4 linked regions of the Alligator mississippiensis genome follow. The protein of the gene in region 2 purifies or fractionates together with the protein of the main gene of each other region. This does not show direct contact. Links are inferred from orthologs where the notes say so. Each region holds a gene or a part of one and is shown on either strand. Other genes may lie near its edges. The genes, in order: ZBTB2, RBBP4, C15H17orf49 and SHPRH.

What was found.
Region 1: the proteins of RBBP4 (region 2) and ZBTB2 purify together in Homo sapiens (affinity purification with mass spectrometry; 3 studies listed by BioGRID and IntAct, with this or other methods). This does not show direct contact. The link is inferred for Alligator mississippiensis from reciprocal best matches to the Homo sapiens genes RBBP4 and ZBTB2.
Region 3: the proteins of RBBP4 (region 2) and C15H17orf49 purify together in Homo sapiens (affinity purification with mass spectrometry; 5 studies listed by BioGRID and IntAct, with this or other methods). This does not show direct contact. The link is inferred for Alligator mississippiensis from reciprocal best matches to the Homo sapiens genes RBBP4 and BACC1.
Region 4: the proteins of RBBP4 (region 2) and SHPRH purify together in Homo sapiens (affinity purification with mass spectrometry; 4 studies listed by BioGRID and IntAct, with this or other methods). This does not show direct contact. The link is inferred for Alligator mississippiensis from reciprocal best matches to the Homo sapiens genes RBBP4 and SHPRH.

What each region holds. Positions count from the first base shown.
Region 1 is NC_081824.1:130,276,536-130,284,455, reverse strand, and holds the start of ZBTB2 (zinc finger and BTB domain-containing protein 2), read left to right. Parts: upstream 1-4,905; 5' UTR 4,906-5,103; intron 5,104-5,746; exon of another isoform or gene 5,747-6,418; intron 6,419-6,431; exon of another isoform or gene 6,432-6,905; intron 6,906-7,433; 5' UTR 7,434-7,459; coding exon 7,460-7,632; intron 7,633-7,920. UniProt on the Homo sapiens protein: May be involved in transcriptional regulation.
Region 2 is NC_081829.1:5,390,329-5,397,480, forward strand, and holds the start of RBBP4 (histone-binding protein RBBP4), read right to left. Parts: upstream 3,017-7,152; 5' UTR 2,923-3,016; coding exon 2,907-2,922; intron 2,440-2,906; coding exon 2,292-2,439; intron 1,456-2,291; coding exon 1,310-1,455; intron 1-1,309. Other genes in the region: ZBTB8OS (protein archease), read left to right, coding at 4,912-4,999, 6,459-6,483, 6,949-7,070. UniProt on the Homo sapiens protein: Core histone-binding subunit that may target chromatin assembly factors, chromatin remodeling factors and histone deacetylases to their histone substrates in a manner that is regulated by nucleosomal DNA.
Region 3 is NC_081838.1:23,753,012-23,760,489, forward strand, and holds C15H17orf49 (chromatin complexes subunit BAP18), read left to right. Parts: upstream 1-4,475; 5' UTR 4,476-4,738; coding exon 4,739-4,759; intron 4,760-5,174; coding exon 5,175-5,269; intron 5,270-5,477; coding exon 5,478-5,579; intron 5,580-5,668; coding exon 5,669-5,823; intron 5,824-6,235; coding exon 6,236-6,337; intron 6,338-6,976; coding exon 6,977-7,041; 3' UTR 7,042-7,190; downstream 7,191-7,478. UniProt on the Homo sapiens protein: Component of chromatin complexes such as the MLL1/MLL and NURF complexes.
Region 4 is NC_081824.1:125,836,211-125,844,014, reverse strand, and holds the start of SHPRH (E3 ubiquitin-protein ligase SHPRH), read left to right. Parts: upstream 1-4,790; 5' UTR 4,791-5,072; intron 5,073-7,804. UniProt on the Homo sapiens protein: E3 ubiquitin-protein ligase involved in DNA repair.

The sequences.
Region 1 (7,920 bases), on a different chromosome or scaffold from region 2:
GCTACCTAGAGGTATGTAGAAAAACATTTCAAGCTGTCTCTGTCCGAATCGCCAAATCATTCCAAACTGAATCAGAGAGTTCCAATTCGATTTGGAGAGATTAAAGGGTCCTCTGATTCGATTCAGATTCGGCCACCAAATTGGGCCGAATCTCCACCAAATCGAATCAAGGACCAAAGGTTCGCATAGCCCTAGTATATGTATTAATGCTTTAAATTACCATTTTAGTTCAATTTGACCCATTTACTTGAAACACAGGAGCTACCACATTCCAACTACAGAATCTATGGCAAGTACCAAATCCATTTTTCTCTTACCCTGGCAAGGGTTTTTCCTCAAAAAACATAAATCTGGACTGTTGAAAGCTGTCCTGAGTAAAAAAAGAACTATTTTGAACAGCAGATTCTGAGAGGCACAGAGACTCCACCTCATTTGGAAGGTGTCAAGCAAGTCTCCAGTGGTACCTTCAACAACAGATACCAGTTAACTTGATTCCGATTCAAAATCAGTGTTGCAGCCACGACAGTCCAGGAAATGAGAGAAGCAAGGGTTTTACTTTGGTGATGTCTTAATGCAGCTGAGGTCAAACTTTTTTTTGGATAGGCATGCCACAAATTAGCCCTCCACAACTGCTACTCTGAGCCCTTTTCCTGCCGGTTTTCTGCTTCCTTGCCTTGTATTCCCTACCTGACCTGCTGCTGTGCTTTCTGCTCCATCTACCACCATGCTGAATGTTTTCCTCCCCTCCAGCCCTGATCATGCTACACACAAACACTGCCCATGCCACTTGTGACATTCGTGCTGCAGGCTGACCACCTGCTTTACTGGACCAACTGTAAAGCTGGAAGAGCTGTTAGGCAAGCTTTCAGGCACAAAACGCCCACCCTCAGGTCTTCTTTCCCACACCTGACGGACACTTTGTGCCAAAGGCTTGTCTAACATCTCTCCAGACTACACAACTGATCCAATAAGATATTACAAAAAAAAAAAAAAAAAACCCCCACACACACACAAAAAAAACAAAAAAGCCTTGCTTCTGAAATCAATTGTGCAAAGAAGAGTTGCACTTGAAGAGCATGGATATGTCTGTCTACCCCAGTTTCCCCCATGCTAAACTGAAACCTTACTTGTTTTGCTTGATGATCATCATCCCAGTAGCACGTGCATCACCAGTGGTTAACAATGTAATACTTGGTTCGTTTTGGCAATATTCTGGCTTTGAGTAAAAACAGAACAAGGACTATTGCTATGACATGTTATTTCAATTAAGACACAGGAAACAATCCTGAAGCCCACAGTTGTGTGAACAGTCATTCCTATTCTCAATTCCTGGACTTAAATAAGTAACACTTCCAGAACATAGTATTTTAAACAGCTTGTTCATTCCTAGCAAAAGTCATACAATTAGGAAAAGAAGTGTTGAGTATATTTATAAAAGACAAGTTAATCATCAACCTGAGGCAGGGCGAAAAGCCAGCCTATAACTATTTAAATGCATACATTAGCATTGTTACCACTAATTATTTTAATATAGAACACTTACAGATACATTTCATAACTTGGCTTGCCACTGAGAGTTGAAATATTTAATAAAATACAAGAGATTCAGGCAGGTCAGCTTTAAGAAATGTTAGATTTTGTAAAGCCAAAAATCAATGTGTTAAAAAGACCCTTCCCATTGGGACCTGAAAAATATTTCTTTAATACTTGCCAAACCTTTTGCCTGTTCATAAAGGTGGAATTATGGGAAGCAATTCTGAAACAAAATGACTTCTTTCCTTCTTGCCCAATCTAAAATTTAAAAAAATTGTGAAGCAGAAAAACAAACCTAAACAACAACAGAAACCACACACCCGTTTTTTTCCTCCTGATTTGAATCTGATATTTTGCTACAAATAGGAAGGAAGTCTGCTTTTAGAAATACCACATGGCTTAGCCATTCTAAGTACCTCAGAACCAAAGCCCGCTGAAGTCTATGGGAATCCTACCATTGACTTCAATAGGCTTTGGATCATAACTAATATCCTTTTAAATCAAGATAACATTTCTGCTTTGCTGATAATATGACATCACAAGTTCAATACAATTTTCTTCCATCTTTAAAGCCAGACTGTCTTCTCACCCATGATATGAATCAGGTGTAACCACCTGAAAGCCACACAAGTTGTACCAGTATACATTTAAATAGGAGAATCAGGAGTGCAATTATGAAGAAGGCTTTCTAGAAATACATGCTTTCCTGTTCAGTGTCCATTCAAAGCACTGCCTATAATTATTTCATTTTAAAGTTTCATTGATTTTGCTGGTTTCAAGTGAGTAGGTAAAACGTCTTGTGCAATAAGCTCCTAAATTCAAATGTCTAGCTTAACACCTACATTAGTTTTATTTTTCATCTTGTCAAATCAAATATGAAGCACTGTCACACACACCCTCCCCCTCCCCTCCCCCCCATTCTGGCAGGTAAACTAGAAGCATTCCAATCTATTAGTTAAAAACATAATTTAAAGTTTCTTTAATCATGTGTTAAACACAACAGCTCTTTAAGCTGTTACAGTTGATCATAAATATAGTTAGGTGCATGAGAAATGCTCAACCTGCTCTGTAAAGTAGCTATTCTTCAAACTTCAATAAGCTCCTTCATTCACAATAGAAAATACAAGCTAGAAACTTAATTTTCAGTCTGACTAGCACAAGAGACACTGGGATCAGTATTTATAAACTAAATTACATGTAGCCTGATTAGATTTAACTTGTATAATATGGATTAAAAAATAATTTAATATTTATGGGCAAGAAGCTGCCAATGGACCACACTGCTCCTGCCAGAACTCCACTGGCTTCAGCAGCCCTTCACACATTCCTGGATAGATCTGTCCCAATATCAACTTAGTTCTTGTAAAATGTGATGACAGGTTGCCCTGAAGTCTGCAATAGTCTGCTGATCAACAGATACAGACTGAGACATGCTGCTGGGGAAGTTACGTCTCAGTCACACCTGGCTCTACAGGTGAAAAGTTAGTTTGTTTTCTTGCATTTGTGCATTGCACACTTCGTTTACTGAGTGCAAACCGAAGTGCCAAACACTTACTTGGGAAGCTGATGCCCGTCTCCTACAAAAAGGGCTGAGAGAAATAAAGCAAGTTCACTTGACAGCCATAAATAAATGATTCTTTACTTGATAACAACCAGGACTGAACTTCAAACTATAGACATGGGACTAACTTACTGCTACTAACAAATGGAAAACTCTCAGTTAATGATAAGGCTCTAAAGCAGTGATTCATAACTAGGGTGGTGCAGCATGCTGGGGTGCTCCAAGACTCCTTCAAGGCTGCCATAGGGGGCTGCACAACCGTAGCAGTCTTAGGAATGGAAACATGAGTCAAAATATAAATTCAGAGAAAATAAACAGAAATTCATATTAAAAGCCTTCTGATCTGTGACCTGAGTTCTTTGCAACAGCAGAACCGGTCTATTATTTTTCTGTAGTCAAAAAAAGAAAAAAGTGAAAACCAAGATAACATTTTCAGGGGGGGTCCCTTGAATCCAAAAAGGTTGGAAGCCAATGCTCCAAATCATTACTCCTAATAATCAACACTTTTTCAACAAAAAATGAGTTCTCTCAAGTTTTCACTGATAAAATATCTGCTTTGTGCCCACACACTGTTTTTCAAACTCAATTTTCATTAGGGAAAAAAAAAAGTTTTAGGACCAAAATTATTCACAACCCATCACCAACTTCCTTGAGCTGCCAACTGGTTGGCACATTAATCAGTTCAGGTCTGGACTTTCAGTCTGGCCTGCAGCAAAAATGGATGTGGCATGTATAAAAGGGTCCTCCCTTTATTTACCAGGCAAATCCTCTGCCCCTTGCAAAAGAGATTCACCCCGATTCATATAAACAGCTAAAAACAAGAAGTAAACTTTGTTGGTCACATTTATTTGTGCTACTTCATATCTGTAGGTCCTGTATCATATATTAGATTTAGTCATGAGTTTTACCACAGCAGTTCTCAAAAAAGGAAAAAAAGGGGCCTGCAAGTATGTAACATAGCAGACCCAAACTTGTATTTCCTCAACTTCCCAAAAGCACAAACCAATGTTTGCCAACTTTTTCACTTAAGTCTTTAGCCGGCATCAGGATCTGTTACAGGACAGTAGCCACCCCTCCCTCCCTTGATTAACCTTTCAGCACCCAGCACTACAGAAACACAGTGGAGTTTCCACCTTGACAGGCCTTTCCCATTTCACCTGCACAGGAGCCTTCCCACCTCCTCCTGCACTAGGGCACAACCCTTTGCAACAGGCCATGCCAGCTTGCTCGCACTCTCGGTGCATTTTATTTTTTATTAGGTTTTTTGGGGGGTTTTTTGTACAGAGGAGCCTGTTGATGACAACTAAAAAAATGAACTAGTTTGCTGACAAGTAAAAAGAGGAGCCGCTTGGCCAAGATTCGGCAGCTTGCCCCTTGACTCCTGCATGCCCTGGGCTCAGGTCACGGCTGCAGCACGGGCACTTTTCAGGCCTCTCAAACGAGCATGCCCAGCCCCCCGGGAACGGGCAGTGCGGGGGGGGGGGGGGGGGAGGAGGCTGCGGCAGAGACATAAGGGCAGCGGGTGCCCTTAATCCTCCCCAGCGCAGGAAGTTCAGCTGGCCCCAGTGCCAGGCCCCGGTGCAGGATGCGCTCAAGATGATGCGGCCGGGCCCGGGCGGCAGGCAGAGGCAGGCTCCGGAACAATGCAAGGCGGCCCGGGCCGCGGATGGCGGGAAGCGCGGGGGGGAGGAGAGCAGCGAGGCAGGAGGCGGCGGCGGCGGCCCGGTCGGTGCGGCCTGCGGGAGGGGGAGGGGCGGGGAGGGGCTGGGTGGCTCCTGCTGCTGCTGCTGCCGCCGCCACAGCGCTCGCCGCCTCCCCTCCCCCCCGGCGGGGGCTCCTCGCCTCGCTGCAGCCTCTGTGCTCCGCTCGCGGTCATGTGACCCGAACGTAACCGGACAGGAAAAGCCGCCGCCGCCGCCGCGCTGACTCCGTTGTTGCTGCTGCCGCCGCCGCCGCTGCGAGCGCAAAGCCGAGCGCGGCGCGGCGGCACCAGGCCCGGCCTGCTCCAGGTGAGCCAGGCGGGGGCGCGGGGCGAGCGGGCGGGGGGCTCCGGGGCGGGGCGGGGGAGATGGAGGGGGGTGCAGCCCCAGGCGGGCCCGGCTCGGCTCGGCTCGGCTCGCCTGCCTCGGCGCGGCGGTTGGGGCCCGCGCGGCCTTGGCGCGCTGTCTGGCGGCATCCGGAGCGGGGAGGGGAGGGCGGGGGCGGAGGGCGGGGGCGGCCCCGTCTCTCTCGCTCGCTCTCTCTCGCTCTCCCTGTCGGCGCGCGGCAGCAACGGCCGCTCCCGTCTCGCGCGCCCTGGCGGCTCCCGTCTCGCGCTGCGCGTCTCAGTGCGCCGGCTCCGTCCGGCCCCCTCGTGCGCGCGTGGCGGCCGCGTCGCGTCGCGTCCGCGTCCGCGTCGCGTGCGGCGCCGGGGGGGAGGGGAGGGAGGGACCACAGCCAATGAGAGCCGTGCCCGCCCTTCCGCCCGCCCTTCCGCCCCGCCGGCCAATGGGAGGGCGCCGTCACCTTCCCCCCCACCCTCCCCGCTCGGAGGAGACGTGCTCTGCCTGGTGGCGGAGAGGAGAGGAGAGTGGGGCGGGGGGCGGAGGAGCAGGTCCCGCCCCCCCAGCCGCAAGGCGGGGGGGGGGGGGGGGGGGGTGAGGTCAGCGTGATCGGCAGTTCCTCGCGCGGGGCCTCTCGCGGCGCCCGGGGGGAGGAGGCGCGGGCGGCTCCCCCTCCCCCTTGGCGCCATGCACCGCGCGGCACCGGCTGCTGCCGCCCCTCCCCCCCCCTGCAGCAGGGCGGGAAGGAGCCTCGGCCCCTGGGCATGTGCTGCACAGCTCCCGTGTAACCCACCCCCGGCGGCATGAGGAGGCCTCGGGCCCGTGCCGCGGCCGCCCTGCAGCGCCGTCGGGCTGAGGGGAAGCTGCTTGCGAGGTCCGGGCGCTTCTGTCCCCGGCGCCAGGGCGGGCCCTTGCAGCCGCTTGGCAACCAAAAAGCGGAGAGCGGTCGCAGCCCCTGCAAAGGTCACGAGCAGGCGCCCGGGCTGGGTTGTCGGGCTGGCCTGGACACACACACAGACAGACAGCCATGGCATCTCTGGGACGGGAGGGAACAGGTGCTCAGCACCGCCACACAGGACATAAAGCTGTTACTGTGGCAGGGCAAACTTGGGTAGGTGGGTGGAAACTGAAGAGCACCTCTTTGCTTAGTTGACATTGAGAGAGAGGGGAAAATAAAGTGCCATCAGCACTGCCTCCTTATCACGCTGACATCTCCTACCCAAGTACAGACAGGACCTGCCCAGCCCAGTCATGAAAGCAAAGCTGCAAGCCAGCCTGCAAGGTGACCCTAAATTCTGCCTGCATGGCATGTCTTGGAGGGTTGAAGACTGCCTTTGTGTGTTGTTAGGGCAGTGAGGATTTTCTGTTTTGCTCAAGAATTAAATCAGCAGCAAACAGCCAAATGCTAAAGTGAACAGCCTTTCTGGTAGCATCGAACCTCCTCTTCCCTCCCCCACCACAATCAGTCAGTACCTGTAACGTAAATAGGGTGGTTTCTTCTCCCCCTTCCCCACTTCTGACTTATGTTACACAAATTCTGATCTTGTGTGAACTGAGGCAGTGGGACATGTTCAGGCCATGGAGTGACTGCCCTTTGTTACAGCATACGAGTTCTGTCATCCTTCAGCCAGTTTGGGAAGTGTCCAACCCCACCTATGCCACAGATCTATAAGCCCACGTCAAATATGCCACCCCTGAGAGATCCTGAAAGAAATCAACAGCTCTTAGCTTCTGCCTGCCTGCTCCAAATTACCAGTTGCTCTCATCAGGTGCTTTTTTAAGCCCTTCCCTTGGGGGTTGTTGGAATTAATCTGACTTTTTTCCCCAGTTTCCCTGTAGACAGGTGGTGAGTTTCATTTCTGTCATCAGTGTTATTTTCTACCTACATAGACTTGTTTGTGTACATGACTGAAACCCTAATACATGCATTTTTACTAGCTGAACAGATTAGGACAACAAATTATGCAGTTGGAAGTCTGAAAATTTTTTAATTTCATTTTGTTTCGCTCTTTCTCTTCCTCTCCCCTCCTTCCCCCCCCCCCCTTGGATTTTGATCATTTCTCTCTCATCTAAATCTCACTCTAATGCCTTTTACTTCAGCTACTTACTTGCTCTGTGATCCAGGGCAAGTCACTACAACCTGTATCTTATTTTGCCATTTTATAACATGGGAATAATTAACCATTTTGAGATATTGTTTATAAAGCACTTTAACATTCTTACATGAAGGGTACAGTACGATTATAGCATACAAATATTGGGGAAAGAGGTTTACATGTGTCACTAATTTTACATAGGTCATTTCCTTTTCAGAGTGTAAAACATGGATTTGGCCAACCATGGACTTATTCTGCTGCAGCAGCTGAATGCTCAAAGAGAGTTTGGTTTCCTGTGTGACTGCACAGTTGCTATTGGTGATGTCTACTTCAAGGCCCACAAATCTGTCCTTGCATCTTTCTCAAACTACTTCAAGATGTTGTTTGTTCATCAGACCAGGTAACTATAAAAAGATTGACTGTTTAACACGTTATTCAGTTCAGGCAAGAAAGCCTAGGTGCATTCTGAAAAACGTTTATTTAATTTCTTATTACTGTTCAAAGAAAACCTGGAATCAGTTCTTATTTGTGAAAAACCTTTAAAAAGGACACTTCATGTCTATGAATAAACTGTCAAGGAATCCAGTCTTTTCCCACTGCTACTTATAATTAGTACTTTTCACTCTTGTCATCTGCTCAACGTTAACCCTTTTAATGTCTGTAAAAGAATGGACAAGAGCCAACAACC
Region 2 (7,152 bases):
AAAAGATAAAAACTATTAGTTTTAAACACGAGAAAACTGAGGTAGAAAGACAGCATTGCTCAAGGCCACAGCACTATCCCTCATTGTCAAGAGCACCTGGCTTCCAATCTGCTATTCAATTCAAAAGAGCAAACTGCCTTGTACGGAAAAATAAAGTAGCCGTAAAGCCGTTATAAAAAAAGAAAAAATCAGATAAGTGACTGAAATTCCTCAACAGATTTGCCGAAGCTATATTTAACATTTGTATTGTGAATTGGAGAGCAAGTATTTGTCAGCACCTGCACCGAGAGAGACCCCAACTTACACACTTTGTACAGGAATCTCTCTCTCTATCACACACACACACTTTTAATCATATACAACCAAGTCAAAACTAAACCTATTTTCAGGATCACAAGCAGATTTCAGGAAATAAACAGAATAAAAGGAAAAGATATCTACAGCCTTATGATCGCAAGTAATATTGCAAAACTTTTTAATATACTATACTTTAATACTCACTCTGAAAAAACAAAAAGGAATTGAAGACAACAACAAAAGAAAAGAAGTAGTGGTACTAAAATTTGATATTTCTGGGAAACAGAAATCCTGAAATGAAGTATTTTAGACAGAATCTTGTTTACAAGCAGTACTAGCAAGTCCAACAATCAAGGTATCAATTGCACAACCTTGGCTCCTGGCAAACAAGGAAATGAGACAACTGAACTGGAAAAGTTGTATAACGTGGAAGAAATCATTAACCCAACTAGAATAAGATATGGCTAATAGGTAGGAATGCTGGCTGCCTAGGAAGGTTACTGATATATTTGGTTTGGATCCCATGGTATTATGGCATTTAACTGAGCAAAATACAATCATCCTTTTATTCTGGAGGGGCTGGCACGTCTACCAGTCAGCAGAATTCAAGCTAAAAAGAACACTTGAAATTGTACACCCTCTAAGGAATGGCAGAAAGCCTCTTTTATCAAATTATGAAAGCTACCATCATAAAGAATACTTTATGCAGTCACAATGAGAAATAATTAAAATAATTTCTATTGCACAATCTTCCAATAAGTTCTACCCCTCTCCTCTTCAAAATGTTATAAAAGCAAAAAGTAAGTTTAATTCAGCATGGCATATGGAAGATTAGAGTACAGTGCACAGATCCAAGAAGAAAGGAGGAAAAGTTGTAACCTCTCCTGATCACTTCATAGGATAAAAGTTCCATATTACTTAATGATCTATTAACTCCAAATGAAAAAAGCCATTATGTCCAGTGGGAAAAAAAAGTTTGGAACTCCACTTGCTGATCATCCGAGACTCTTACCTCCTTTCTCGCTATCATAATGTGAAGCATCAAACTGTGCATCGTCATTGGGCAGCTGCACGCTGGCTATCACAAGATGATTTTGCTCGTCTGAAGTATGTGTCCCCAGGACTAGCCGGTGAATACTGAAATCTTTGCCTTCGGGTCTACAACAAAATAGGATTACAGGAGGGGAAATGAAAGGGAGTTAATTAGATATAGTTGGCTCACAGGAACAAACCTGGACCTGGAAATTAAACCTCCAAAAATAAATAAATAAAATAAAAATTATAATATATCTTTTAGCGCTGACCATGCCCTCTTACTCCAATATCAAATCTTCCAAACAAAATCACCGCAGTCCAACCCTAGACGGACAGCAGATACCTATTTCCTTGCTGCTATCCCAAACAAAATCACCGCAGTCCAACCCTAGACGGATAGCAGATACCTATTTCCTTGCTGCTATCCCAAACAAAATCACCCCTGTCCAACCTTAGACAGATAGCAGCAAGGAAATCTGTATCTGACATCCCCACAATACAAGCTCTCTTCTCCCCGCAGGACTCTCCCACTAGTACTCCCGTGAGTAACGCCTTGAGGCATATTAGCATTTTCTGCAAGTGACAGGTGGAAAAATACATTGTGTCAGGGACCCGGGGAAAGAACAGTTGTGCTGCACAGCAGAAGGGTTTTGAACAATACCTAAATGCTGCGTACGTTCATTTTGCAACTTCATCAATGGAGGGTAAAGAAGAAAACATCACTTAGTTACAGGTTGAACACAGCCTGAAACATTTGCTGCCAGTCAGCAGCTATTTCTGAATCAAAGAGGCACCAGGCAGCAGGCAGCAGAGGTGCTGCCTGGTGCCAGCACAACAGTCCTCAACCTACTGTGGCCAAAGAGCTGATCACAGCCGGCAGCAACCCACTCCCTCCCATACGTGACAGCGAAAGCGTCCTTCAGTCCCATTTACACCAACAACCAGGAGGCTCGACTCACCTGGTTACATCAGGAAGCCACTGGGCAGTCAAGCTGGGCCACTCGAGCGCGTGGGTCATCACCAGGTCGTAGAGGAAGGGCGTGTTCTTCTTCCAGATCTTGTACTCCTCGTTGATCACCCGCTCCTCCACCGCATCGTCGAAGGCTGCTGCACGTCGCCAAGGGGAGGAAAAAAGAACGTGTTCATTTCAACGGCGGGTCCGGCTAGCACCCTACCCGTGCGGCCCCGTCGCTTTGCCGTAGCTGCCAAACAAACCCACCCACTGCCAGGGTGCACCTTCCCACCCGCCCGCCCGCCCTCCGTGGCCCTCACGGGCCCATTACCAAGGGCCCCCCCCACCGCGCACAGACCTGGGGAAGCATTTCAGTCCCCCCCAAGAACCAGAATTGGGGGCTTTGCTGTGCAGATGAAGGGCCAATGATATCAAATATGCAAATTAAAGGAAAATTATGCAACACATGCTAATTAAAGGGGGGGGGAAATGCCTCTTTGAAGGCTCCCACGGAGGAGCCGGACAGGAAGAGAAGGGAGGCCCAAGGGCTGCTTGCTCCGGCAGGGCTGGGGAGGTCCCACTCCCGGCCGCGGCGCCAGGCCCTGCTCCCGGCCGCACGTACCTTCCTTGTCCGCCATGTTGGGGTGCGGGGCGCGGGCTGCCGGCTCGGTGCAGCCGCCGCTCTATTGTTTCCGACCCCCTCTGCGTGCCACTCCGGCGCCGCGCGCCCTTCGCGCCAACGCCCGCCAATCACCGCCCGCGGCCGGGCGCCCGCCGCCAATAGGAGCCCGGCGGGCGCTTGACAGGGCGGGCCTAAGGAGGCGGCGGGCTTGCTGTACGGTCACGTGGGAGGGGCCGGCGCTGGTGAAGCTCCCATGGGAGCCGCCATTTTCTGACGGAGGGGCAGCATGGCGGGCCGCCTTAAAGGGCCAGCGGCCCCTCATGCCCTTGCTGGGGCTCAAGCCTCATTGACCCTGTTTCTCAAGGCTGCTGCGGGAGGGGCAGAAAAGCAAGCAGCCTAGGGCTTGCCTGCCAGTCGCTGCAACCTGTGATCAGACAGGATTGAGGATCTTGAATAAAGCAATATTTATTAGCCTATATAGCAATATTGATCTCGAATAAAGCAATATTTATTTGCCCCCCTTTTTGTTTCGTTCTAGGTTTGAAGGACAAAATTCAGTTTTTGCCTGAATCTGCTTCCTACGTGGGGGTTTGTTTCTTTTTTCCCCTCTGATTTTCCCCCAAAGAGTCCGATCAGCGCTGGAGATCGTAAGAGTTTTGTACAAGAGCGTCCTGTGTAGGAGACATTATGGTCGGCCTTTGCTGACTATTAGGGATCCTGGTTTTCTCTGGATATCCCCAATTTTCAGTTAAAGTAATCCCAGATCCATGTTTTTCCATGATTAAGATTAAACATCACTAGTATTTACCTATATATTAATGAGGTTTCATTTAAAAAATCCACATTTTTTTGTGATTTAACTGAAAAATGGGGATTTAAAAAAAAAATTTTTTTTAATCGGAGAAAACCGGGATCGCTGCTGATTAGCCTCTGGCCTCGCTCTTCACTGCAGCAGGAAAGACGCTGATTATTTCCAACTGGAGTCAGTATTTTGCAGCGGTGTGAGAATAAAGCAGACCACGCAGGGGCTCCGAAGGAGGACGCTGGAGAACACCTACCCGATATCATCACCGTATCACAGAACATGAGAGCTGGAGGGACCTCGGGAGGTCACATCTAGTCCAACCCCTGCTCCGAGCAGGACCAGCCCCAACTACATCATCCCAGTGAAGGCTTTGCCAAGCTGGGTTTTGAAAACCTCCAAGGATGGAGACTGCACCATCTGTCTAGGTGACCCGCTCCAGTGCTTCATCACCATCACCCTCCCAGTGAGAGAGTATTTCCTAATATCCAACCTAAACCACCCTTGCTGCAACGTCAGACCGCTGCTCCTTGGCCACCACTGAGAACAGGACTACACTTTTCTTACAAATTGTATTCTTTACTCCCATCTTTAAAAAAACAGAGTAACTGATGGTATTTATTTAGTCTTAGATTTAAAAAATAAATAAATACCAGCTTTTCCTTCTACTGGAATTAACTCTAGAAACCATCTCATCGTTTCCCCCCTTTCGCTTTCATTCATAGCGCTCGGCCCCTGGTGGAAGCCTCAAACAGTCTAAATCGCCAGTGTTTTCCTTTTCTTTTGCTATTTTCCTTCTTCTTGAGCAGCAGCAGCATGCTTGAGGCTGCGCAAAATTAATCAAGTTAAACCAAAGGACAGCCTGGCACTAGCTCAAGGTGTAAGCTATTTGTGGTGCGGATCCTGAAAATGAAGCTTAACTTTAGGCACATTGAGAACTTCTTTCAGCTTCATTGACTCACTGCCTAGTACGTTTTTGCAGGCTAAAAAATACCCTTGCAAAGGATTTTGTGGCTGGAGAATTCAGGGGTGCACATTTCAAACCTCACTTATTTTCAGTGCCACTTGGTGTCCTCATTGCTCTCCAGTCGAGCAGGGAGCTCTGCCTTTAAAGGGTAGGATCACATGGTGAGTCTGGGCTGGATCAGGCGAAGAGGGGCTGTCTGAATAAAGCAGGAAGCAGGTGCTGCAAGGCTGACAGTGATGGCTGATAATTTCCGGGATTACAACCTGAACCAGGAGCAGAAGGCTATCAAAGCCAAGTACCCTCCACTCAATAAGAAGTATGAGTGTGAGTATCCCCATGGCATGTCTGTGGCTGGGAGGGGAGGTATAGACCTAAGCACGTGTAAAACTTGTGCTTCACACTGTGCCCTGGGATCTTGTCTCTAAGTGGGTAGGGGAGGCTTATTGATGCGTCTTGATATGTTATCTTAACGGAGATCATTTAGCTTTGTGCGATGGGTCCTAAAGAAGTCCCTGTGTGTTCAGCACCTCCAGGCAGGTTGCCATAACTAGTTAGTGACTCCTGACTTTGCAACTGGAAGTTTATTTTGAAAGCCTGAAAAGAGAAGGAAGCAAATCTTGCTGGGTGAAATGAAAAGTGGTATTATCACTCAAAACTGACTTGCAGTAGGGGGTAATGATGATACCATACTAAGAAAATATAATATTCATTGGAGAAACTATAATCCAAGAGCTGGTTAATTATGCAAATCACATCTGCCACCACTGATTTATTAGCCAGTCAGCTCAGAACAAAGTACCAATGCTTATTTTGTTTTAAAACTTAAGTATAATGCCTTAGTGTGGAGCTGTTATAAGGAGGGAGGTATGGTAGGGTCTGATCCTGTGCGTTACTGAGTCCCCTCAACTCCTGCTGGTTGAAGGGCAGACAACAAGTGCTCAGCACTGCAGCTCCCGGTATTATGCATCTTAGTGGCACAACTGTATCTGGCAGTAATTCTGCAGAATACTGGTTTCCACTGACACTGCACAGCTTGTTCCCATAAGCATGCAACTCATTTTGAATTAATGCCTGGTTTTCATATCCAGTTTAACCCCAGTAACACAAGTTGGATGGGTTTTAGGGTATTCTACCAATATTAGGGATACAGTGTAAAGCCAGGCCTATTACACCATCTGTTCTTTTATCCCCACAAGGGAAGTCAGATCAAAAGTTCCTTGAGAAACAAAATTTCTGTGAGCTGCTCCATAAAACAGATTATCTAAAATGCTTTTCTGGCATTTTAAGTGAACATTGATGTGAGACTGATTACAATATGGGGGGCAGGGGGAAGGTTACCAACTTCAAGGAGAAGAAAATTGAAACAAGAGTTTTGGGTTCAAATTCTGTCTTTAAGTTTCTTCCATGTGGCCTGTATAGTTTGGGAAAGCTCTATAACATTTTCATCTATTGAAGGATGGTATGAAATGCATATATATTGGGGGTACTTTTTGTGGAAACAAGGTGATGGGTTTATTATGGAGGGGTTGTTTTTCTTGGTGGCTTTCTTTTAAAACCTATTATGGTACCTACTATGTGCTGCTATCATATTGATCCTTTTATAGCATATTTAGCTAAAGGTCAGATTAACATTATTAATATGAGGTCAGATGTGTCAAAACATGCACAAAATATTCTCATGATAAAAACAGGACCTGAATTTTCTTGCAAGTAGTCATGCGTTGTTTTTCTAAACAACTTTGACAATTCCATAACTCTTTCTTTTTTTCTCCTAATCCTTCAGATCTGGATCACACGGCTGATGTTCAGTGAGTATTTACAGCTGGAATTTGAGTAGAATTTCTCTATAAGCCTGATTCTCTTCAATACTTGTCAATCAGGAGTAACTGACAAAATCTAATGTGACAAGAGAATAGGGTGCAAATATATCCCTTTTGGGCCTGTGGATGCCACATTTAAAGATGCTGTATTTGTTTCATAATTCTGCTGCCTCTTATTTCCAAATGTTCCATGTACATATGTTCCAACAGTACCTGTTTAGATATCCATGGTTTTTAGTAAAATACTCAATATTTTTCCATGTTGTTCCTCCAAAAGAAACTCCATTGTCTTTCAGTGTTTCAGCACTTACCATAGACAAGTCTCCCTGCTTAAAGGCACTGTGTTTGCTGCTTTTCCTACTCGTATTTCTATGGTACTCCAATTCCTTACTTGTATTTTCTCGTCTTTCTTTGTCGCTGCTGTATGATGGTGTAACTCTTACGTCTCTGTAGGTTACATGCCTGGGGAGATACTTTGGAAGAAGCTTTTGAGCAGTGTGCTATGGCCATGTTTGGCTACATAACAGATACAGAGACTGTGGAGCCCTTGGATACTGTAGAAGTGCAGACAGAAGGTAAGAAGGCACTGTGCAAACTTTGAAAGAGAATACTGTTGAAATTAACTTTGCCTTTCAGTCAGAAATAGCTGGCTTATTG
Region 3 (7,478 bases), on a different chromosome or scaffold from region 2:
AAAGGATAACTAAAAATCCTGTGTTTAAAGAGATACTGTTGCAATAAAAATGCAATTGCAAATGGTTTGCGGGTTTCAGCTACTAAAAAATTCATTTAAAAAGTCAATTAAATTAAAATTAATTAAAATATGACCAACCAAAATCAAATCATCAATGATGATGAGGATAATGATTATCATGATAACGCTAATAACAATAATAATAATAAACAAATGAACTAATGAAAAAAATACAAGCAAAGCAAACATAATTTCCAGGTACCTTAAGTATAAAATAAAATGTTCTCCAGGCTTGTCTCATCAAAAAGCAAATGTTGTTGTTTCCACTTCAGTAATAAAACAAATGTTTTAATAATAAAAACAAAAGAAGTAAATGATGTTAACAGATAATAAATAAATACATGATATATAACAGTGGGTAAATACTAGTTGATAGAGAATGAATAAATGATAAAAACAGTAAATAAATGGTAAGTAAATAATAGTAACACATACAAATAAACTATAAAAACAATAAAAAATAAATGGTAAATACAACTAAATAATAATAAAAAATAAATAACCTTTGATAAAGAATAAATAATTATAAAAATGCACAGTAAATAAATAATTGATAGATAATGATTCAGGGATCCTGGATTTCTCTGTTTAAAAATGACAAATTCTCTGATTAAAACCCCCAACATCTGTGTTTTTCCCTGACTACAATGAAAGGCCACTATATGTCCAGGTATCAGTTGAACACAGCATTTTACTGATATATTTACAATTTTAAAGCAACCTGGAAGTTCGCTGGTGCCTCAGTCACTATAATGAAATAAATTCTAAATACCGATACATTTTTAATTTGATTGGGGAGGGGTTTATCATGGAAATACAAGCTCCCCCTGCGCTCCCCTAGACGCGGGTCCACCTACAGCCCCCCCGCGTGCTTTGTGGTGCTGAGCAGCCCGGCCCCTGCTGTTGCCTCTTAACCCCCCCCAGCCCGCAGCCCTGCCAGTTGCCCCCAACTGCCAGGGCTACCCGGGCCTGCAGCCCCCTGCCCCCCCGCATGGGCTCCGCAGGCAGCCACTGCAGACTCGGGCTCCCAGCCCTGCTGCCCTCCCTGGGGTTCCCGTTGCCCAGCAGGCAGGTCCCGGCATGGCAGTGCAGAGTGGGACCGGGCAGGGAAGCTCCTTGCCACTGTGAGCCCCATCCCACTCCCCGCCAGGCCTGTGGCCACACATAGCCCTGGACCCCACACAGCCCCTGGGATGAGCAGCAGCCCCAGCCCTACCTGACTCCCTCCCTATGGGGGACTCAATCTCTGCCCCCTCCCCCCCACCGAGTTACCTGAGGGAGCTGCTCTCCAGGCTGCCACATGCATGTGTGCGCACTCACACACACTGCACCCCTGCCTGAGCTCCCTCCTTCCGCTCCCCCTAGCCCCCCGCAGGCTGCCACTGCCAGCCCACATAGGGAAACCCATTTCCCGCATTTTCTCCTTTAAAGAAGAAAAATCCTTGCGTTTCTCCTTAAAATGAGAAAAATTGTGTTTTAGCATGAATGCAAAACCTGGATCGCTGCTGATAACCAATAATGAGCAGTTTGATTAACAGGATCTTCCTGCGACTTATTGCTTGGGCTCCCTCTTTATTTGCACAGCTACAAGAAGGCTTTGAAGATGCCCAGCTGCAGGGTACCAAAAAGGAACGGAGCAGCTACCACGCACAGTTCAGGATGCGAGATCTGCTCCTGCAATCGGTCAATCTCCTGGTGCACGGATCCACGCCTTGGAGAAGCTGACAAGACCAAGACCCTGGTGAGGTACTATCATTTTCACAGCTAAACAGACTGGACTTGGCTTTGCTTTAGGCTCATTTACCAGTGATGAGTTGCAGTAAATAAAGCCTTTGTCATTCATGCATTGAATTGCTGTGTCAGTCCTTTATGCGCTGGTCCCGAACCCCATTTCCTAACAAGCCTGGAGGTGGGAGAGCCAGGGCCAGAGGTACCCTGGAGGAGGGAGTGAGCTGACCCAGCAGACCAGGGGCTGAGACAGAGAAGCAGGGTGAGTCCCTGGCTGGAGGGGGGTGGGGGGTGTTTCTCCTCCAAGGGCCCCAATCTGGGCCTGATCCTGGGAGTCCTGGTTGCAGGTGGAAGGTTGTGGGGGGAGTCCTCTGAGTGTCAGGACTGACCCCCCCCAAAATCGCACAGGCCAGCAACTGCTGCTTCCCGGCCAAGCTGCATGTGATGCTGGGCAGCTTCTCCATGCCACCACGAGGCCCCTGCCAGGTCCGGGACCAGCCGCCACCACTTCTTTATGACCCCCCTGGACCATGATCCTTTGCTTCTACCCCCCCCAGCAGCTGGGGGGTGGGGCTCTGGGTAACGGGGACCCCTTGCTGGGAGCATCCCTAGCTCCTTGGACAGGCAGGAAGGGGATGAGGGGTTACCTGGTATTGGGGGCATCTAGCACGTTGCTACCCCACGTGGGGGTTCTGAGCCACAGGGAACCTGCTCCGGGCTGGTGCCCCCCCATGTGTCTGTCCCCCACCCTGAAGGTTTTGTCCTGTGCAATGAACGGGGTAGAGCTGGGAGGGCCTGGGGGTGGGGCAGAGTGGGTCTATAGGGGGGAGTGGGGGATGGCTCTATATGGGGGGGAGATTTCATAGACATTAGGGCTGGAAGGGACCTGGGAAGATCATCAAGTCCAGCCCTCCTGCCCCAGGGCAGGAAGTCAGCTGGGGTCATAGGATCCCAGCAAGCTAAACATTGAAATTTCTCTTGAAGGTGTTCAATGAAGTGCTTGAACCACCTCCGGCAGCAGGCTGTTCCAGACCTTAGGGGCTCAGACAATAAAGAAGTTCTTCCTTATGTCCAGCCTGAAACGGTCATGGAGGAGTTTGTGACCATTCGACCTTGTCATCCCTTGGGGCGCTCTGGTGAACAGACGTTCCCCCAGATCCTGGTGGTCACCCCTGATAAACTTATAAGTGGCCACCAGATCACCCCTGAGCCTGCACTTTTCCAAGCTGAAGAGCCGCATAGCTCTCAGCCTGTTGTCGTAAGGTCTGTTTTCCTGACCTCTGATCATACGTGTGGCTCTTCTCTGCACTCTCTCAAGCTTCTCCACATCCTTTTTGAATTGTGGAGCCCAAAACTGGACGCAGTACTTCAGCTGCGGCCTCACTAGGGCCGAGTACAAGGGGAGAATGACGTCCTGGGATTTGCTTGAGAAGCATCTATGGATGCAAGCCAGCGTTTTGCTCGCTTTACCAGCAGCATCACATTGAAGGCTCATGTTCACCTTGTGGTCAGTGATGACCTCAAGTCTCTTTCACCTGTACTGCTAGCCAGTGTAGCACTGCCGAGCCTATAAGGATGCTGCAGGTTTTTCTTCCCAAGGTGGAGAACCTTGCATTTTTCGGTGTTAAACACCATCAGGTTCTTGTCCGCCCATTTCCTGAGCCTGTCCAGGTCAGCCTGGATCGCCCTCCTGTCCTCCGGCGTGGATGCTTTGCCCCAGAGTTTGGTGTCATCGGCGAACTTGGCCAGTCCGCTTCTGACTCCAATGGCCACATAGTTAATGAAAATGTTGAACAATATGGGCCCAAGAGAGCCCTGAGGGACCCCACTGGTCACAGGGCACCACGATGATTGACTTCTGCCAACCACCACCCTCTGGGTCCGACCACGGAGCCAGTGGATCACGGTGAGGCCGGGGCCACAGTCAGCCAATTTTGCCAAGAGGTGATCACGAGATGCCAGACTGAAGGCTCAAGTCAAGATATACGACATCCATCTCCTCTCCCTTGTCCAGGTGACCGGTCACCTGGTCGTAGAAGGAAATGAAATTGGTCAGGCAAGACCTACCTGCAACAAGCCCGTGTGGCTACCCCTCAGGGTGTTGCCATCCGCCGGTCTGTTAAGAATGGCCTCTTTGATAATCTTCTCTAAGACCTTCCCTGGGATGGAGGTCAGGCTGACCGGCCTGTAGTTCCCTGGATCTACTCTCCTCCCCTTCACTGCATGGGCCACCTTCCAGTCTTCCGGCACTTCGCCTGATGGGAGGGGGTGGCTTGGTGGAGGGGAGTGGCCATGGATGGGGGTAGCGGGGTGGTCCCCAGGGCTTTCCCAGGTGCATTGTGGGTAGGGGGTGGGCTCTATTGGGGGGGCTGGCTGTATATTAGGGAGGGGCTGGGGGTTTCCTCTATGGGGGGGGGGGGGGGTCCCTCAAGGGCTTCCCCAGGTGCATGGTGGGTAGATGGGTGGGCTCCATGGGAGGGGGGGTTGGCTTTATGGGTGGGGAGCAGTGGCTCTATGGGCTCCCCAAGGGCTTTTCCAGGTGCATTGTGGGTAGATGGGGGGGCATTAGAGGGCGCCGGTCTACGGCTCCAGGCGGGAGGGGTAGGAAAGAGTTAAAGCCAGCGAGTGGGTGGTCCTCCACACCGCCTAGAGCGCCCGCCATTACCGCCGAGAACCTGGAGCTCCCAATCACCATAGAGACGTAGGCGACTCCGGCGGGAGCGTCTGCAGGGACCACCGAGACGCGCTGCTAGAGCGCTTCACCCACCCCCGCACCACCAAGGCGCTGGAGGATCCGGGCGGCTAGAGCGTCCGCCAACACCACCGAGGCACCAGGTGGTCCGGGGGGGAACGGAGCGGCCGCACCATCGAGACGCCGGCGGCCGACGGGGGCCAGAGCGCCCCACTTCCGGTCGTGCCAGGGCGGCGGCCGGGGCGGCGGCTGGGGGCTATGACTTCCGCCAGCACCAAGGTGGGGTCATGGGGGGCGGGGCCAGGATGGGGTGTGGGGCCTGCAGTGGGGGAGGGGCAGCGAGTTGGGTGGGGGAGGGGCCTGGGGTCCAGGGAACCCCTAAAAGGGGTGGAGGGGGTCATAGGGGAGGGACCACTGGGGCCCCCCATGGAGGGGGAGGGGCTTTGGGGGCAGCTCGGGGGGGGCTCTACAGGGGGGCGGGGCCCAGGGTGGAGGGACCCCCCCGCCAGGGTTGAGAAGCCCGCCCCATTTGTGGGGGGGGAATTAAGAGTACCTACTACGTTGTAGGGGGGCTCAGGGGTGGGATAGGGTTGCCCCCAGGGACTGGAGCTGGGGGAGCAGCAGGGTCAGAGGTCATGGCAGGTGAGGTCAAGGGGTCAGAGCACTGCCCTCAGCCCCCCACGCCCCCCCACAGGTCGGGGAGATCTTCTCAGCCGCCGGTGCTGCCTTCACCAAGCTGGGGGAGCTCACCATGCAGCTGCACCCTGTGGCCGATTCTTCCCCCGCGGGGTAAGCCCCGCCCCCTGCCTCCCACACCCCACCACCTTCCCCCTACACCTGCCCCCCAAACACCCCCAGTTGCCCCCTAAGCCCTGCTGCAGGGGGGTTGGGTCTCGGGGGCTGCCAAGAGGGGGTTTCGGATCGGGGGGGCCACTGGGGAGCGTTTATGGGCTGGGGGCTCCGGGCTGGGGGCCCCCTGACACCCCGCGCCCCCCAGGGCCAAGTGGACAGAGAGCGAGATCGAGATGCTGCGGGCGGCCGTGACGCGCTTCGGCGACGACCTCAACCGGCTCAGCGCCGTCATCAAGGAGCGCACGGTGTAAGGGCGGGGGCGGGGGCTGGAGGGGAGCCCCACACCCCTCAACCCCCGCCCCAGCTCACCGTGGCCCCACCCTCTCGCCCCCCCAGGGCCCAAATCAAGGCTACAGCCAAGCGCAAAGCCTACGAGGACAGCGGGGTGCCGCTGCCAGCTGACTCCCCCAAAAAGGGGCCCAAGAAGGGGGGGCACAGTGGGGTGCCCCCTGCCCCTGACGCCCCCCCTGCCAAGAAGCAGAAGGCCTCAGGTGAGCTGTGAAGCCCCCCCAATCCTGGGGTCCCCCCAGGCAGGGGATTGTGACCCCCCCATTCAATCCTGGGGCTCCCCTGGGCTGTGGGAGGGGCTTGAGACCCCCCCCCATTCAACCTTGAGGTGTCCCTGAGCAGCTGGATGGAGGCTGAGACCCCCCGTTCAGTCTTGGGGTCACCCCAGGCTGCAGCAGGGGTTGAGATGCCCCATTGAATTTTGGGATCCCCCCCAGCTGAGTGAGAGGTACTGAGACCTCCTTCCCATCCTGGGGTCCCCCTGGGTTGCAAGATGGGGTTTGAAACCCCCCCCCCATTCGGTATTGGGCTCCCCCGGGCCGGAACAGGGGGCTGTGTGCAGGGGAGGAAGTGGCAGGGGTTTTCGGGGGCCCCCCACCCATGCTGCTCCCCTAGACGTGACGCTGAGCGCCCTGAACGATGCGGATGCCAGCAGCGACCTGGTTGACATCGAGGGACTCGATGCACCGCCCCCTAAAAAGCTCAACTTCGACCAGGGTAAGGAGGAGCCGGGGGGGCCGCTGGTGGGGTGCGGGGAGGCCTCAGGATCAGCCTGGATCCCCAGCAGATGGTGGGGGGGCTCCAGTAGAGGAGAGCTGGGGGGGCTGTACATGATGGGGGGCCTGGCTGCTTGGGGGTGGTCCTTTGCTCCCTGCATCCCCAGGCCCCGCCCCCTTTCACCAGGCCCCGCCCCCAGTCCTTGAGATTAACCCCCCCCTACTCTTCAGCTCCTCCCCTCTTCCTCCAGGCTCCACCCACCCCCAGGCCATATAGGTCCCAGCCTCTGCCCCAGTCCAGGCTCTGCCCCAGTCTGCATAGGCCCCACCTCTACCTTCTCAGCCCCACCCCCCTTTCCTTGAGACTTTCCCTTGGCTTTGGAGACTCCACCCTCTTGCCCTGACCCTATTTCTCCAGGCTCCACAACTTTGCTCTATGAGCCCCAGCCCCTTCAGCAGGCCCCACCCCCTTTTCAGCCTCCCTGTCCTTTCCTTCTCTAGGCCCCACCCACTCCAGTCCTGGCCCCACCCCAGTGTCTTAGTCCCAACCTCCCAGGTTTAGGCCCCACCCCCTCCTGCTTTAGGCTCTGCCTCTCCTCCCCCCCCTTTCAGCCTCTCTCTGCTCTCTCTCCTCTCCCAGACAGCCTGACCTTGGACCCTGGGCTGCTCATGACCACTGGTGACCTGCCCCTGCTGTCGCGCTGACCCTGGCCAGCCAGACCACCGGACACCACCCTGAGCTTGAGGGGGCAGGACACTGGGGGTGTCCATCCCACCCCCCAGCCCCATCACTTGTTTTGAGGGTAGGGGGCTTGGGGCGGAGTGTGACAGTGAATAAAGGGCCTTCCCCTCTACCGCCTCCTGTGTGCCTCAGTTTCCCTTCTGGGAGCTGGTGGGGAGGGACCCGGCAATGCAAGCCCAGGGGTGGCTGGGGGGGGGGGGGGTGGCAATGGGGTGGGTCAGGGAAGGGGCAAGGGCCGGCATCAGGAATAGTTGACAAGGTTTCCACATAGCAATTAAGAGTCACATGGTCTCTGGGTGGCATTTGCATAACTAATGAGTGCATTTGCAAAGCTAATGAGGGCTGAGCACAATGGCGTAGGCAGCCTGCGTCATCTGCCATTGGTGGGTTTGCCCATAGG
Region 4 (7,804 bases), on a different chromosome or scaffold from region 2:
TGCTCATGGAGAAGCGGTCTATGGGTGCATCCAGATGAGTGGGAACATGTCCTTTGCGGCATCTCAAAGACTCTTGAGATGCTGCAAAATTCACTTGGTGCAAGTGAAAAGGTTCTTTGCACAGCATATTTCCAATGTGAAGCCAAAACTAGATTCTGGAAAAGCATGGTATCTAAAAAAATGCTTCAAAGAAAAGTGGGGGCGGTGCATATTGCTGCAACATGTGCCACCCAAAACTGGAGCCTGGCTGGCCAAAGCCATGCTCTGGCTGCTGGCCAGACTCTGCGCTTGGATCGATGACATTGCAGCCCCAGAAGGCCCCCAGAACCCCAGGTAAGGCTGCTGGGACCAGCCCAGGTGCTGGCCCCAGCCTCCCCTACTCCACCTGTGGCTATTTGTCATCCATCAGTGTGCATGAAGGAGCATACCTTGGAGACAAGCAGCTGCTCTTTGTCCCCAGGGAAATGCACATGTATGCTTGTGGGGACATGCCCTATGGGGCATAAGTCACCTTCCAGAGTTTAACAGACAAAATACTCTGTCCACACTGGGCATATGCATGTACATACCGGAATGATGTGGTAATATTCACCAGCACCTAGCAGGTGGACATCTAGCAGGTGAAGGCAGTGCTTCATTCACTGTTCACTTCAAGTGGCAGGCCTCGCAACTAATCCAGCTGAGTGTCAGTTCAGATGTACTAGGGGTACCCCTAGGAATACTAGGGGTACCCCTAGGAAATAGAAGGATTAAACTCCTGGTAGGTACAGTAAAGGCACTGGTAAAATCCCCAGTGACCACAATGAAGCAGCAAGCAAAGTTGTTTTTAGGGCTGGCAAGGTATTGTTAGTGCTTTATCCCATAGTACCAGTATAAACCTACTTTGTGGTAGGGCACCCAAGAAGGTGTGATGGTCTGCAGAGTATGCAGAGGCATTGGGGACTATAAAAAGGCTCCTATGCAGTGCCCCAGTACTGCATGGCCCAGACTTCATAAAATAATTCATACTGCAGAATGATTCTTTGGAGTGAGGTTGGGGAGCCATTTTCTCCCAAGAGTTTGAGGACAGGGAACACCTAATCCTGTATTTAAGTAGGAAGCTCCTTCCCTGGCAACAGAAAAGTTCAGTGATAGAGCAAGAGTGTCTTACAATTAAGTGGGCAATTGGTACTACCCCCTGGGTGTTCCTTTTACCTTTTTCACTGACCGTGGCCTGCTAATGTGCCAGAATGGGGAGACAATGGGATTTGATTTCTAGGGATGTCCAATTGCTGTGTGGTGGGGGGCCACAGATGCCCTTGTGTAAGCTGTATGGGATTCCCCCCATCATGTGATCTCCTTTCTCTCCTGCACTGCACCACGCCATGCCACATACCCCCTACCCACAGTGCACCATGCGAGCCTGCCCTGTTGCACTGTACCACTGCCCCATGTCTTGCTGTGGCATCCTCCCCTAAATGGCATGCCTCCCCTACCATGCCACCCACCACTGGCACCATGCTGGGTCCCAAGGTCCCTGCCTGAGTTCCCTCAGCCACAGGCTCCATCTTCTCCACACTGTACCACTCCCAGGGGCAGGGGTAGGCAGCAGAAAGTGGAGGAAGAAAGGAGAGCCAGAGACTCCAGGAGAGCAATGGAGGGAGTGGTGCTCAGTCTAGGAACTATGGGGACTGCAGGTTAACTCCTTAGGGCATAGACTACTAGTTGGATGACCCTGTTCTTTCCAAATAGATATGGTAGCAGCATAGACAAATGCTGCTTTCAACAGAAAACTAGGCATCAACAGGCACTCCAAGAGTACAGACTACAGACTTCCTAAACTGCAGACTGAATTGGCCAATCGTAGGTTCCCTTGACCAAAGACGACTGCCCTGTAATTTGTTTGCTAAATACTGTACTCCAACTATACAGAACTTAATTCTTAAATTCAGTTAAATTAACTTTTTGTTGGCTTTGACTATATTCTCTATGAGCTTGTTTAGCAATGGGAGATTTGATGGTAGGGTGGTTAAAACCAACGTGTCCGTGGTCAGGCTACTGCACATCTGAAGAAAAAGGGAAAATTCCCTCCCTGAATTGTCCATTTCAGTTCAGAATAGCACCATTTGTATATGACTCTCCACTAGCCATGGATATCAGGAGTTGGGAGAAAAGTCTTGGGCTATATTTAATTTAGGGTGTCCTGAACCTCTTGTTGAGTGGGAATGGTAAACTGGGAATGGAGTTGTTGGTCGAAGGGTATAGAAAGAGCAGTTCCAAGGTATTCAAGACTTCCCTCATGTACATGATCTTTTCAGCAAAGTAGACTGACACTTGGTGCTCCATTTTGTTGCTATTTATAATTATTCTGGATTAATTGGTTTACCACCACTTTTGTGACAGGATTTGGTAGATTAATAGGAGGACGATCAGAAGGTTGACCCTCTTGGCCCTCATACCTCAAGGGAACAAATATATTACTCTCCCTTCAGTCCTTGTATTGCTGTGATTTTAGTTATTATAAGAACACTTCTAAGTAAATATAGTTCGATATCTGTTTAATTTTACTCATCCTTTTTGTCATTATAGATTTCAGATTGGATATAAAAATCTGATGTTAGGATATCAGACTAAAGCCATTATGATGAAACTCAAAACATTACAAAATAATTGCTAAAACCCTGAGGGTATGATTCTCCACTGCACTGTGTTTAGTTTTAACTGCGCTTAGTTTAGTTTAGCTCTGCAAAAATCAACAGTACTTCCCTGCTGAAAATTAGTCTAAAACAGTGAAGGATTATGCCCATGGATGGTTTCAGTTATTCTTGGGAAATGTGGTTAGGGCACTAAAAAGTAGCAACATATTGTATATTCTCTTCAATCCTGTGCTTTCAAAATTTTGCATATATAGAGATCTATTAGGGCAGGGGCAGGCAATTATTTTGGGCAGAGGGCCGCTTAGCAAGTTTCAGCAAGCCATTGAGGGCCGCATGACAGGCAACCCAGGGCAGATTAATATTAATTTTCTAAATTTTTTAGGGGCCCCGCAGGCCAGATAGAATGGTTTGGCAGGCTGCATCCGGCCCCAGGCTGCTTTTTGCCCACCTCTGTATTAGGGTCATTGTACATAGATAATATTATGGTAGCTGTGATTTTGAAAGCACTGCTACATACTGCCAACTGTACTTATGCTGAATATCAACTTGCTCCATTAGTAGTGCCAGGAAAGCCTTTGGAATTACAGGCAGGCAAGGTTCTTAGACCAACACGGCTACAACCAAAAACCCAGCAACAATGGGATTACAGGTACTTAAAGATGAACATTTGCTTAAATGCCTTGCTGGATCATAGCCTGTTTTGGAATTAGGTGCTATTCAACCTGAGGAAAGAGTACCAAAATCTGGTATCAAAATCAAAGTACTTGCTCAAGAGAGAGAAAAAAAGGCATCTTCTGTTTCAAAACACGTCCTTGATTCATATCCATTTAAACCTATGGGAGGGTGGAAATCCCACTACAACTAACACCTAATAAGTTGTTGTAATACCTTTAGGGGTGTCAAAAAGGTGGTCCATAGGCCAGATCTTACTTGTGGAGCCTCATCATCTGGCTCCCGGTGCTGGGCCAGTATGAGACCCCTGCATGCTGAACCCAGCACCTGTAGCACCTGCTCCATCCGGTCCAAGACCATGCCACACATAGCACCTATTCCAGTCAGTCTGGGATACAACCACTCCAGTCTGTCTGGGGTGGGCAGTGCATGCAGTGTGGGTCCCACAGTGGAAGCCATATGCATCCTGCACTGGCTACAGTGGGACTGGATCCAGCCTGCTGAGAAAGGTGCAATGGGGGACGGGACACATTCTTCTGGACCACAGACCAGTCCTATGCTGCTCGTCCAGTTTGCAGGACAGGTCAGATAAGTTCAGCACCCCGCTTTAAGCCAAACACAACTGGAAGCTCCATCAAACCCAAGCAATTTCTATGATGATGGATTCCTTCATTTCTTTCCATCTCTGATTAGAGATCAGTAGGTTCTGCAGCAAGACTGGGTCTTGCTTTTCCACAACTTTGCAAATTTTGAAGTGAACTATGTACTGTATTGTATTAGATTAAATCAGCCCTTCTTTCTCTCTTCGCTAGTTACTCACAAGCACACTTTTTAAAGGAACTTTTTGTGACTTAAAACGTATTCAGTGGCTGCAACTTTTTTCACAAACAAATTTCAGTGCATGGACTGCTTGTAAATGCTTGCTGTCTCTCCTGCTTTGAAGCCTTGCTAGCAATAAGTCACTATTTGTGGCCTGAGGTGAGGTATTTTCTCTTTTTTTTTTTTTTGACTAGATAAACCCCCATGGTTGTGAGGGTTTTGATTGTCTTGCTGCAAATGCTCATGCCCTGGGCTATTTTCATGAGGAGCCCTACAAACTCCCTTTCCAATGTGTCTCTGTAAAAAAAGGGGGTTATAAACATCTGTACAAACAAGCCATAAAAGGGGTGACGCAGATGCTTTGTAATGGAGCAGCCTTTTATTCTAAGGGATAGTTAAAACTTTGTTTTAGTAACGTTCATGGCATTTAGGAGCAAGGCTAGAAAGCGCCCCATCTCACGGGGAAAAAAGCCTAGACCCAAAAGCAGTCTCAACCCAGATCCTCCTCTGTCCACGTGCCCCTCAACCGCCTCCCTATGCGCATGCGCCTCACAGGCCCCTCCTTCTTCTGCCCGACTACTGCCCGCCTACCCCCTTCGGCTTCCAAATCGATACTACGCATGCGCTGCCTTCCTAGCTTGTTGGTTCCAGCGCTCACTCCCCGAGAGGCTTCGGAGGGGGGTGGGGGCTGTAGTTGCCTCCCGCGGGGCTGACTGACCCCTCCCCTCCCCTCACCCATGACGTAGTTGGAATGTGGTCTCCGGCGGTTCCAACCACTGGCAGGGGGGTCCGGGTCCGTCCCGCGACTGCGCAAGCGCGAGTGCTGTCTCCGCTGCCCGGTGGTGAGGGGCGTGGCGTCGTGACGTCTGCGCGCCCCATTCGGAGGGCCGCGGCCTGAGGTGGCCGGGCGGCGGGGGGGCGCTCGCGCGGGGCGGGCGTGACCAGGTAACGGGCTCGCGCGGCGGGGCAGCGAGTGGGGGGGCAGCGACCCCAGGGTCCGTTGTGACCGGGGGGAGGGGGCGTGAGAGGGCATCGCTAGCACGGGAGGGGCAAGTACGGGGGCTGGCAGGGGAGAGCCAGGGGCTTACCGTGGGGGTCCGTCTCCCTGAGCCCTACCCCCAGGAGAGCTGCTTTGTTGGTTGTTCATCTGTGGGCAAAACCCCAAAGTGCGAAGGCAGACCCGGTGTTTTCTGGGCGTTGTGCAGTTAGGGGTGAAAACCCCTTATGCGGGAATGAAACCCAGAGATTTGGGATAGAAACGTGCCACCCAACCCTGATACACAGGTGCTTTTAATTAGCACGGCTCGCTCATTAAAGCGCCCAGCTTTGCGTCCCGCAACACGTGTGAAAAATGCTCTGAGAGCCATGCTAATTAAAAGCATCTGTAGCCATCATGTATCAGTATCCATGTGCTGAAAAACAGTGGCAGGGTGCTTTGAGCTAAGGCTCAAATGAACTTTAGTTTAAAGCATCCCGCCACCATTTTTCAGTGCAGGGGCACTGATTCACGTGGCGCTGGAGTCTGCTGGAGCGCAGTAACTTCTGCGTCCCACCAGACTTGATTAATTAATTGGGTGCTCCGACACACTAGAATGACAGAGCATTTGAGCAGCCTCCTGTGTGTGTGTGTGTGTGTGTGTGTGTGCGTGCGTGCGCGTGCCCTCAGTTCTTGGGCAACAGAAGAATGACTCTGCCATTTTTCTGTAGGCAAAAACCCAAGTGAGAAGGAAGAGCTGGTGTTTTCCAAGAGTTGCCTTGGGTCGGGGGATTCTCAGCTGGGAGAATCGCACCATGGCAGTGTGAACCCCAATTCAGGAATGAAACCCACAGATTTTGGATAGGAATCTGCAGTGCGATGAAACGTTGTGGTCTCTTAGTTCTTGGGCAACAGAAGAATGGCTCTCATTTTTCTATAGGCAAAAACCGAAGTGCAGAGAAAGAGCTGGCAGTTTCCCAGGGATGCCTCGGGTCTGGTGATTCTCAGGGTGCTGAGATGGATCCTTTTCACGGTGCTGCCGGGTGTTAGCACTGTGGGGTGTGCACATGTGATTTGCAAGATAAACCTCTAGATTTGATCTAGGAATCCACAACTGGGATCTTTTCGAGTTCTTTGCTGTAGGAAAACCGCTCTGTTATTTTTCCATAGGCAGAAAACCCAAGTGAGAAGGAACAGCTGGCATTTTCTAAGAGCTGTGTTGATTCTCAGCTGGGGAGGTCATGAAGTGTTAGCATGGTTAGGGATGCAAACATGATTTATAAGAGAAACCTAGAGATTTCAGATGGGAATCGTGTGAAAAAAATTGTTGCAGTCTCCCTTGAATTCTTGGCCAACAGAAGAATAGCTCTATAGTTTTCTGGTGGTCAAAAACCCAAATGAAAACAAAGAGCTGGCAGTTTTCAAGGGCTGCCTCCAGTCCAGTCCAGTGATTGTCAGCTGGGTTACTGAGGCACCCTGGGGGGCCTCAAGAAGATCCTATCCAGGGTGGTAGCACTGTGAAGTAATGCAAAGATGATTGAAATGATAAAACCTGCACTTCTCAAATAGGAATCCAGCTGCACTCTCTCAGTCCTTTGCAAACAAAATAATCACACTTTGGTTTTTTTGTCAAAAAAGGAGAGAAAACAAGGATCTGGCACTTTCCAAGGGCTGCGTCAGACTTGGTGATTCTCAGCCCACTTTGGGGTGCCTCAGAATCCTTTCTGGGCTGCTGCCTTGCGCCACAGTGTTAGTGCTGTGAGGTGTGCACACATGATTTCTAAGATAAACCCACAGATTTCACTTTGGAGTCTACGGTTACAGTTTTTCTGTTGCAAAAACTCTTAAAAACTGCTCAGTTTTTGGGGGTTTTTTTTAACTCCAAAGTAAAAAAAAAAACCAAAAACAAGTGATTTTTAAAAAATGAAAATAAAAATAAACCATTTTTCTGTAACTAAAATAGAACTGAGAAAACTAAGACCTGACATTTTCCAAGGCATGCCTCCAGTCAAAAAAAAAGAAGAGACTGAAAAACACTAGTATTAAAAAAAGAAAAAAAGGCAGGGATTCCTTGGGATGTCATGGAGCAGGGTCCCCAGGGGTGAATGGGATGCCCTTGGCAGCTCTGTGACCCTGCAGGCTCTGCCCCAAGGGCACTCTCTTGTCAGTAAAATAAATCAGGAGGCTGCCCACGGGCCCTTGCTTGGTCCCAGTCCGCTGAACCTCACTCGAGCTTACTAGTTTTTGAGCCCTTTTGCTGGGCCTCTCAAGTACTGTGCTGAATGGGGACCTCAGGCCTTATGGGCCAGTTGCATGGCTCCAGACCTTTCCTTTACCATGCCCCATGCCTCACGGGTGTTATACAGATGTTATACCCTCTGTTGGGGCCTTGTCCTACTCAGCCTCCACCCCTTTCATATAGCTAGGTCTTTTAATCTAGACCCCTTGTGCTAGATCCAATATTGAGGCACTAGCTTTAATCAGTCTCCTTTAGTTACTGGGCCCCTGGCCCTTATCTGCTGTGCCTCTCTGGCACTGGGCTTTCCAGGCCCTGTAGCTGCGCCCCTCTGGGCACTAATGAGGTTTTCACCTCCCCTAATAGTCTCATCCCAAACCACCAGTACAGACAATAACACGAACATAAGCCCCAGGGCTGTAATGTAACAACAACCATAAAGGCAGCACTCTGCCTCTTTAAAAG